Coturnix japonica: one gene and its partner. The protein of the gene in region 1 interacts with the protein of each later gene in a pairwise test. Links are inferred from orthologs where the notes say so. Each region holds a gene or a part of one and is shown on either strand. Other genes may lie near its edges.

Region 1 (3,808 bases):
CTGAGTATTTTAATAGCAAATGCAACCATACTCTGCTGCCGTATAAGCATACATCCAAATTGTGTCTGAAAAGTAGATTTGTTATCTTTAATCAGTACTTTAAAAGTCTCCTTAACTGATCAGAAAAACTGTACATAAGCGTTTGTAGCTTCCTCTCTATACAGGTTTAATACTGATCTTGAATTCAAATATTTATTAGTGGTTTCAGTACTAACAAACTGTTTGGTTTCCTCTCCATTTCCAAAGGGAACTAGAAGCAAATTATAGAAAGAAATCTTTAAGACTAAGTTTCCTTTCTGAACTTTTCATTTATAGAAAGACTGAGACTCTTAGTCGATATACTACCAGTTATAGAAGCTATCCCAGATGGGTTATGCAGTATGAGTCGTTATTCCTAAAATAACCCCCTTTTCCAGCAAAGAGGTTTGTGAAACAGCACATTGGCATGAAGATATCTCACCATTCATGGACTGCAGATACAGTCACAATGGAAGAAACAGACACATCTCACGTATACAAAGCTTAATTTTACACACATAACCAGCATATGTTACAGAGCCAAACTGATAACACTATTTCAGCCTTATCCCCGATGCTCTCTTTTCTTTTCAAGCATTTCTCAATTCTGACAGGTAACTTCAGTAAGTAACAGAGTAGATATTTTTAAATGTTTGCTCAGTATTTTTCTTTAAATGTGCCTTCATCAGGAGTTCTGAAGGAACAGACACATCACAAATAACAGCAAAAAAAATCTGGATAAACGATGTTGTTTAAACGTTTGCCAACACAAGATAAAGGAAGTTTCACAACCTAGAACATGAAAAGCAATCTGTCAAACTTATTTTATTCTGCTTAACCTCCCGTATGTATAAACTTGTTCTGGAAGAAACATCTGACTCCATGCAGTCCTCGGCTTCTTAAAAATAAACGAACAAATAGACGCAGTGTAGGCCAGATTAAGTCTCATATCCCTACACTGCCACTGACTGACAACAACAGAAGTGCTAACGTAACTGGGCAAAACTATTTAGTACATGAGATTGCTTAAGTCAGCACTCAGGCTTTATGCCTGAGTATATAAACACCTCCTCACCCCTCATTAATTCTATTTGTTTCCCCAAAAAGCAAGCATGGCCTGAGATTCCCAAGACTGCTCAAACAACGGTAACACAAATCTATCCTTCCTAACCTGAAGAAGACAGCTAATAAAACTTGATTTTACCTTCATAAATGCCAGTCAGCCCTGGCCTAGCTCAAACTAAAACAGTAAACTAAACAAAACAACTCTGTTCTGATCAGAACCTCCTACTGCTCACTTTATTATTCATTTCAGAGAGAGATGGACAACACAAAACAGGCTGACATTCTGCATACATGCATAAACAGTTCAAGCTCTAATTGCAAAAGCAGTTGTATACGTCAATAGGCACATGTAAATATTACCTTGAGTTGAAGCAGGAGGATGTTCCTGTGGCTTTTCTTGTGATAAGAGCCCCAGGTAGCTGAGAACTACGTATTTTGTTTCATAGTGAAATCCTACAGGCACAGCAGTAGAGGACGCCATCGGGTTGGCTTGCAATGTGTCAGTGCTCTTATTGGGCACGTAGGGTTTTCTCTAAGTTACTGGACACTGTAAGAAAAGAGGAGAGTGGTTTGTTTTTCATTTCTTTTTTTTATAAAGTTGCAACAGGTCATGAACTCATACATAACACGGAATTATGTAACGATCATAAAGTAATATCCAGAGTTTTGCCTTTATATCCTATGCATTCTTCTTTTAATACAAACTATGCAGAGTAAAACCAAATGCCTTCAAGTCTAGTGCTCTGACCACAGTTAGCAGTGGGATTTCTCACTCCTGCCTGGCATACACACTTTCACATTAAAGCAAATTGAAGAGTTCCTCACCACGTATCTGCCTCCTAATGCCTCCCAACTCAACCACATATAAAAAACACAGGCGTAGTCAAGCAAAGAGGTTTGAAGGGCTCTGAAGACTCAGTTAACTGCAGTTTGAGGTAAAAAGGACAAGTTCAGAGGAAACTCCCTTCCCCTAAGCCTCACAAGGGTATTTTTCTCACTCTTTGCTTTCTCAGATTCTATATTATGAGGCAAAAAAAGAAATGATCGTAGGAAAAGAGAGAACTGTCTCAACCTCAGTTGTCTCAACCTCATTTTACTGTTCCAACAGCAATGGAAAACACACGGTCAACACAGGAAACTCTGTATTCGTTGCTGGGATTGGAAGAACAGATGGCCGTGTGTCCTGGATTTCTCACCAGACAATAATACTCATAAAACAGAAATCTGTATCTAACAGCAACATCTGGTCAAAGAATGACCTTATTTCACTATTGGTATCGTTGCTTCTTCAAACACCCAAACAAGAACAGCGAGAAAAGCTGGGGGAAACAGAAATTAGAAACAGCCATCAGTGACAAGGAAAAATTAAATAAATCTGAAAGGCAACATGTAAGTGAGGAAAAAGCAACACAGCAGATTGAAACAAAGTGTCAGACTAACCAACATGTTCTAGCATTTTATGTAAGGAACAGCCTGGATCCAATCAAGCTGATAAACCCAACAGCAACAAGAGCTTTCAAATGAATTTTCAGCATTGAGGTCTCCATCACTTCGAAGAGTCGCTCCAAGATAAGCAGCAGCTCACACCTGGCCATCAGAATGGATGCCCAAATGGAAGGCCAACACAAACGCTCACACTACAGAACAGGAACATAACAGATACTGAAGAAGTTAGAGGATTTACAAGCTTCAGAGTGTGGTTATGTTTAGAAGAAATATTCAAGCCAAGTTTAAAACCTAAAGCTGTAACGGGAAAAAGAGTTGGTGGAAAATTAGCTATCTTTAAACTGTAAGAACTCCACTTTCTGCAATTAGTTCATTATTGAAACGAGAGGAGGATACCTTCCTGAAGTCTACATTGTGGGAGGCAATTCCTCTTCTTGTGTATTTCAAATTCTTGAAATCCTTTACCAGAAACATTCACTTGAGTCCTCGCTACAGCTAGAACTGAAACAGTGATTTACATAGGAAAGAATCAATGTCAAAGACTCAAGAAAACACTTGACATATCATGCTTCAGAAACGCAAGAAGTTACAGCGAAGGATAAACATGACTTTTCTACAATACGCAGCTACCCTTCAGCCAACATCACACACTGAGCTTTCAATAAACATGAGAGATTTGGAAAGAACTACTGAGGAGACTTCAGGATCATCGACAATAGATGTATTCCTCACGCCAGATCCCCAGCTGCAACCTCTGCATCACCAGATGTGAAAGATGCCATTCACCAAAAAGAAAAAGCTCCTCAATACATTTCAGTTTTGTTTTGCTCACAGAGATCCAAAGTCCTGAAACTAAAGAGCTCCCTGCAATGCCTACACAATGAATGGAAGCCCTTCAGGCCAACCTGTACAGACCTGTCCAGAAAGAACTGGCCTGATGAGTGGTCTACAAAAATCCAGACACTGTGATGCGTATCAAAGACCGACTCTGAACATATAAATATTAGCCTTTAAAACAGATTTTCAGAGAAAATGAAAGGGAAAAAGAAACAATTGTGTTGAAACAGGAATGAGATCCTACACCAGCACAGTGATCCACATGCAGCAGTGAGGCCCGGCTCATGAACATTTCAGCATGCTTAGCTCAGCACCAATGGAGGGGGTGGAGGGAAGAGAGTCAGAGTCACGACTTGTTAAAACAGTGGCCAGTATTTCCCTGGGAAAGCAATGGACAGAAAGCAACTTCGATTGAGAAAAAGTAACCACTTGGGCAAATGTA
Region 2 (4,606 bases), on another chromosome or scaffold:
ACAAGGCGAGGGCACAGAGGGGGTTACAGCGTGGCTGGGAATGGGGACAGGGGAGCGCGAGGGTCCCCAGGCGGGCAGGGCACAGGGCAGGTGAAGGGCCGGGATGCACTGCCCACTGTGCCCAACACAGCCCCATGCACCCAATGGACCGCCAGCCCGAGCTGGGCGGCACTGGGGCCGACCACACACACGTGGGACTGACCAGCTGTGGCACAATGGTGCCCCTTCCCATACCAGGGGATTTCTGCGGCCAGCAGGGTTTGACCTCTGCGGGAGAGCAGCTGCAAAACCCCTGAGCTGAGCAACGCCGCTCTGCTGCCCTCCCTCCATGGTGCCACCCCAACCGAACCCAAAGGGAACCGCAGCCATTCCCCTCTGCTCCCCAAGGCCATTCCCAGCACTAGGGCACCAGTCTTCGGGCACCATGCAGGACAGCCATAGTGGCAGCATGCACTGCCCTTGCAGGGATGCTTGCGGCTCTGCCGGGTGATCCCTAAGCACAGAGCAATTTGTTTGGGGGCAAATGCCATGGTCAAATTGGCTGCTTTGGGCACACAGTTGGCCTCGGGGAGGGCTGTCAGGCTGCGCTTCCCCTCGGTACACCCCGACCCCCGGGCGGTCGCCATCTCCTGCCCTTCAGCCAACGCCAAACCCGCTGCAGGCGCGCGATGGGGTGCCAAACCCCGGTTAAGATCACCTTGTCAGGATGTCCTAGCCACTTTCCCAAACACTGACACACCCGCTGCAAAGAGTGAGCTCGCTGGGGGCCTCGCGCTCCCCTCCCTTTCGGGCCCCCAGTTACCGTTGCGCTGAGGCCCTTGCCGCAGATGGTGGTCCGGTAGTCCCCGAAGATTTGCCGGACGGCGCCGGTGGTGTAGAAGCCTTCAGCCAGCAGCAGGGCTCCATAGAGGAAGAAGAAGGAGGCTGTGCCATAGATGACGTACTGAAAAGCGTGGATGCTATGGGGAGAGGAGCGGTGGGGATGCTCAGGCAGTGCTGCGGCACACAGCCCCGTGTGCAGCCCCACTTACCCTCCCCAAGCCCAACACACCCCTGGGGGAGCTGGAGTGGGGTGTCACCTCCTGTGGGGACAAAGCTGCTGTCCCCAAGTGGAGCTGATGAGGGGGAGCAGCACCTTGCTAAGCAGGACATCCTGCTGCCCCCATACCTACCTGGTGCGTCTGTCCTGTGCACCCCACAGCACCTGGCGTGGGTCAGATAAGAACAGGGTGAAAAGAAATGGAGCATCTGCCACGGGGCAACAGCGCCGGTGTGAGGCTGCCCAGGGCTGAGCACAGCCTGCGTGGTGTCGGCCCCAGTGGGTGGCAGCAGAGCCGGGTGACAGCGGCACATCACGCGCAATGGAGACGCGAGGAGCCCCGCGCCGTTACTTACACATCGATGAGATACTCGTAGTCCTGGTAGTTCTTGGAGAAGTAGGTCTCAATGAGCTGCTCGGTGCCGGTGAGGGCTTCGTGCCCACAGCCACAGAACAGTGCCACCCCAAAGAAGCAGAGCCCGGTGGCGACCAGAGAGGCGAAGGGTGCCCCGATGAGGCAGCGGGCACAGCACTCCAACAGACCTGCAGGGCCACAAGGGGGGATTTTAGGGAGATAAAGGGAAAAATGCTGAAACTATTTGTGGTGGTGCTACAAGAGCAGCAGTGCAGGGTGCTGGGGAGCTGGCAGTTGAGTGAGACGGAGATGCGGGGTGATGCAGCGTGATGCCAGTGGGAGCAAACCAACAAGCTGCTAATGGGCTCCCCGCTGCCGCAGTGCTAGGGGTTTCTATTTGGGCTGCCATGGTGCCGTGGTGCTTACAGAACCTGGGATGAGGTTGGGGTGCAGAGAGCGGGCACAGCTTGGGGGCAGCTCCACTCCCTCCCCGGCGGGTGTGCACTGAGTTCCTAAAGCGCTCCGAGTGCTGGAAGCAGTCCCAAACCCATGCTCCCCCCACGGACCCTACAGAGCCTATCATCTCCTCCTTGCAAGGACAAGGCAGCCTTGGGGTCCTGGCCAGCAACGTCCCCCCCTCCCCACACAGAGCAAGGGTGCGTGGTGGCACCGAGGACAATGGGGGATTGTCCAAAGAGCAAACAGGGAACAAAGGCAGCGCTGTGGGGGAGCACAGAGACCCCCCCGCCTGTTTGCCTTGGACACAACGGGGCCAGGGAGTGGTCCTTATGCCTTCCCCTCCCAGCAGTGCACCCTGATCCCTGCAGGTCCTACAGGGATGGATAGCTGCATGCGTTGCAGCACGATGATGGTACCAAGCTGACTTGAGGGTTTTAGTATTTCTTCTCTCCCTGCTGGGAACCTGGGGGCAGTTGCTGGCAGATGGCAGGTGGGGACCAGGATGCAGCAGGGCCTGGTGTGCCCTCCAGCTTTGGGAAAGAGATGGAAAAGTGCAGGAGGAGAAAAGGGGAGAGAAAAAAGGGCCCTTGTGCAGCACCATCATGGGCCTTGTTGCACAAAGTGCTGCGGGCAGGAGGAGGGTGGCAGCTGTGAGACCCCCATCAGAGCACCCAGCAGGATGACATCATTTTATCGATGGGGAAACTGAGGCATGGAGCTGCAGGCACACAAGTGGCACAAGCTGTGATGGGTCTCAGTGCCCCGCTCTCCCTGCAGCCCTGGGTTGAGCTCATGCTCCTCTACCCTCCCGGAGGGATGGGGTCTGTCCCAGGAGGGGACAGAAAGCCACATGGGAAAGGAAAATGCCATCCCTGCTTCCTCCCCTGCCACCCATGGGAACATCACCTGCACAGCCTGCCAGTGCCAGGGGAAATGCTCGGGCTCTCTGCTCCAGGCCCCCACAGCTGTGACAGCTGTCCCACGTCCCCATACTCACCCATGGCACCCGACTCGCTCAGCTCCCCGTGCGCTCGGCTCTGTCTGCAGCCCTCGCCTCCCCTGGCAGTCCCTCACCCTGTATTGTCCCCTCTGGGTGCCTGTCCCACTCGCCAGCAAAGAAAAGGGCTCTCTGAGTGACAGCCACCCCCCTTAAAGGGACAAGCCCCCGTCCCTCCCCGCCCCGGCCCCCCCCAGCTGCACCCCTTGGCTGCCAGCCGTTCTGTGTGTGGGCAAAGCAGAGAACTTCAGGGCTTGGGGTGGGGAGGGGGAGGGAAAGCTTTTCTAAAAGGGATAAAGGGGCTGGGGGGGGGTCACAGGGCACCCACTGTGCAGTGGGAGGGGGACCCCCAGGCCTGGCTGGGGTGTGAGTGCCTATAGGTGTGAGTTGTAGCAATGTGGGATCTGTGGGATGCAGTGATGCCCCTCTGTTGCCTTCTTGCTCCCTAAGTGTCAGACACCTGCGTTCAGTGCTCCAGAGTGGGTGTTCTGATGGGAATTCTGCTCTCCTTGCTTTCACGGCAGTTCTTCTCTCACTGTCCCCATCCTTTTGGGCTCTATGTGGGACAAGAGACAGAGCTCCAATGGGCACAGTCCCCAGAGGGAGTCCTCCATGGGGTCCTCAAGGGATGGGGACACATCCAGGGATGGGGAAGCAGAGGGGGTCAGCTCCTTGGGGTGCCCATCTCCCATGGGTGCCCCCCATGGGGGATCAGCACAGGGCTGGGGACGCCTGCAGAGGGCAACAGGGCCCTTCTCAGCAGGCAGACAAAGCCCCGCTGTGTCCCTCAATGCCCTGCTTTGTGCCAGGCTGCGCTGTGGCAGGGCCTGGCTGTCCCTGGGGCTGGGAACACTGCTGGGCTGGGGGTCCCCAGGGCACCACACAGTGCCCCCAGTGCTCTTCAGAAACCACATCTGCGGGGCTGCTGATGCTCACTGATAAGGGACTGCATTGCCTGGATGGAGCCAGGCACCAGAGGGAAAAATGATGTTATGGGGAAAAAAACGATGAGCCCTTCTTTCTCTTTCTGCAGAAATTCAAGATCTTGCATTTTATTTCAACACCCTGGGGGGAAGCATCAGCTTTCTGCCATCCGGGATAATGTGAGCAACGAAGCAGGGCTGCGATTTCTGCACCAAATGCCTTCAAAAATCTCCGTAATTGGTTACTGCTCGTTAGCATCTCCCTCCCGTGTGCCCCCCCACCCCCAGGGCTGCCCATGCTGCAGGGGGGCGGCTCCACAGTCTGATTTCATCCCTTCCTTCTGCATTTTGGCTGAAGCCTTTGGGACCCCCTCATGCTGCAGGCTCTGAGCATCCCCTCTTGGCTGTGTGTCCCCGCTGGCTCCTTCGCTGTGAGGATGCCTCTGTGATCAGCCCTGGGTGCTGCTGTGTGCCCGGGCTGTGGGCACAGTGCTGGTGTCCCCAGGAGGAGCAGTGACAGCGCGTGCAGTGCCTTTATCCATTATACATACATGTCGGGAGGTGCGTATTGTCACACCAGAGAACCTTGCTGCTATTTTTAAACAGCCACTTCCCCAGGCCAGGCTGATGCCCACCTTCTGATTTCCCCCATCACTGGGGTGAACCCCCTTTCCCACAGGGGAGGGCAGGAGGCTGCAAAATGTGCTAATATAGATACAATTAGGGGGGGGAAAAAGGCAAAGCTGTTGGAGCCCACTGGGGGATGGGGAGGCGAGCTGAAGGACAGGAGGGCTGGTGGTGCTCCCCAGCCCCATGGAGGCTTCATCCCAGCA

Evidence for each region.
Region 2: the proteins of BCL2L13 (region 1) and PLP1 interact in binary tests that used the Homo sapiens proteins (3 or more experiments, as listed by UniProt). The two-hybrid records come from large-scale screens. The link is inferred for Coturnix japonica from reciprocal best matches to the Homo sapiens genes BCL2L13 and PLP1.

What each region holds. Positions count from the first base shown.
Region 1 is NC_029516.1:50,908,559-50,912,366, forward strand, and holds part of BCL2L13 (bcl-2-like protein 13), read right to left. Parts: intron 3,031-3,808; 5' UTR 2,926-3,030; intron 1,631-2,925; 5' UTR 1,565-1,630; coding exon 1,444-1,564; intron 1-1,443. UniProt on the Homo sapiens protein: May promote the activation of caspase-3 and apoptosis.
Region 2 is NC_029519.1:1,950,358-1,954,963, forward strand, and holds the start of PLP1 (myelin proteolipid protein), read right to left. Parts: upstream 2,982-4,606; 5' UTR 2,855-2,981; coding exon 2,851-2,854; intron 1,583-2,850; coding exon 1,396-1,582; intron 960-1,395; coding exon 698-959; intron 1-697.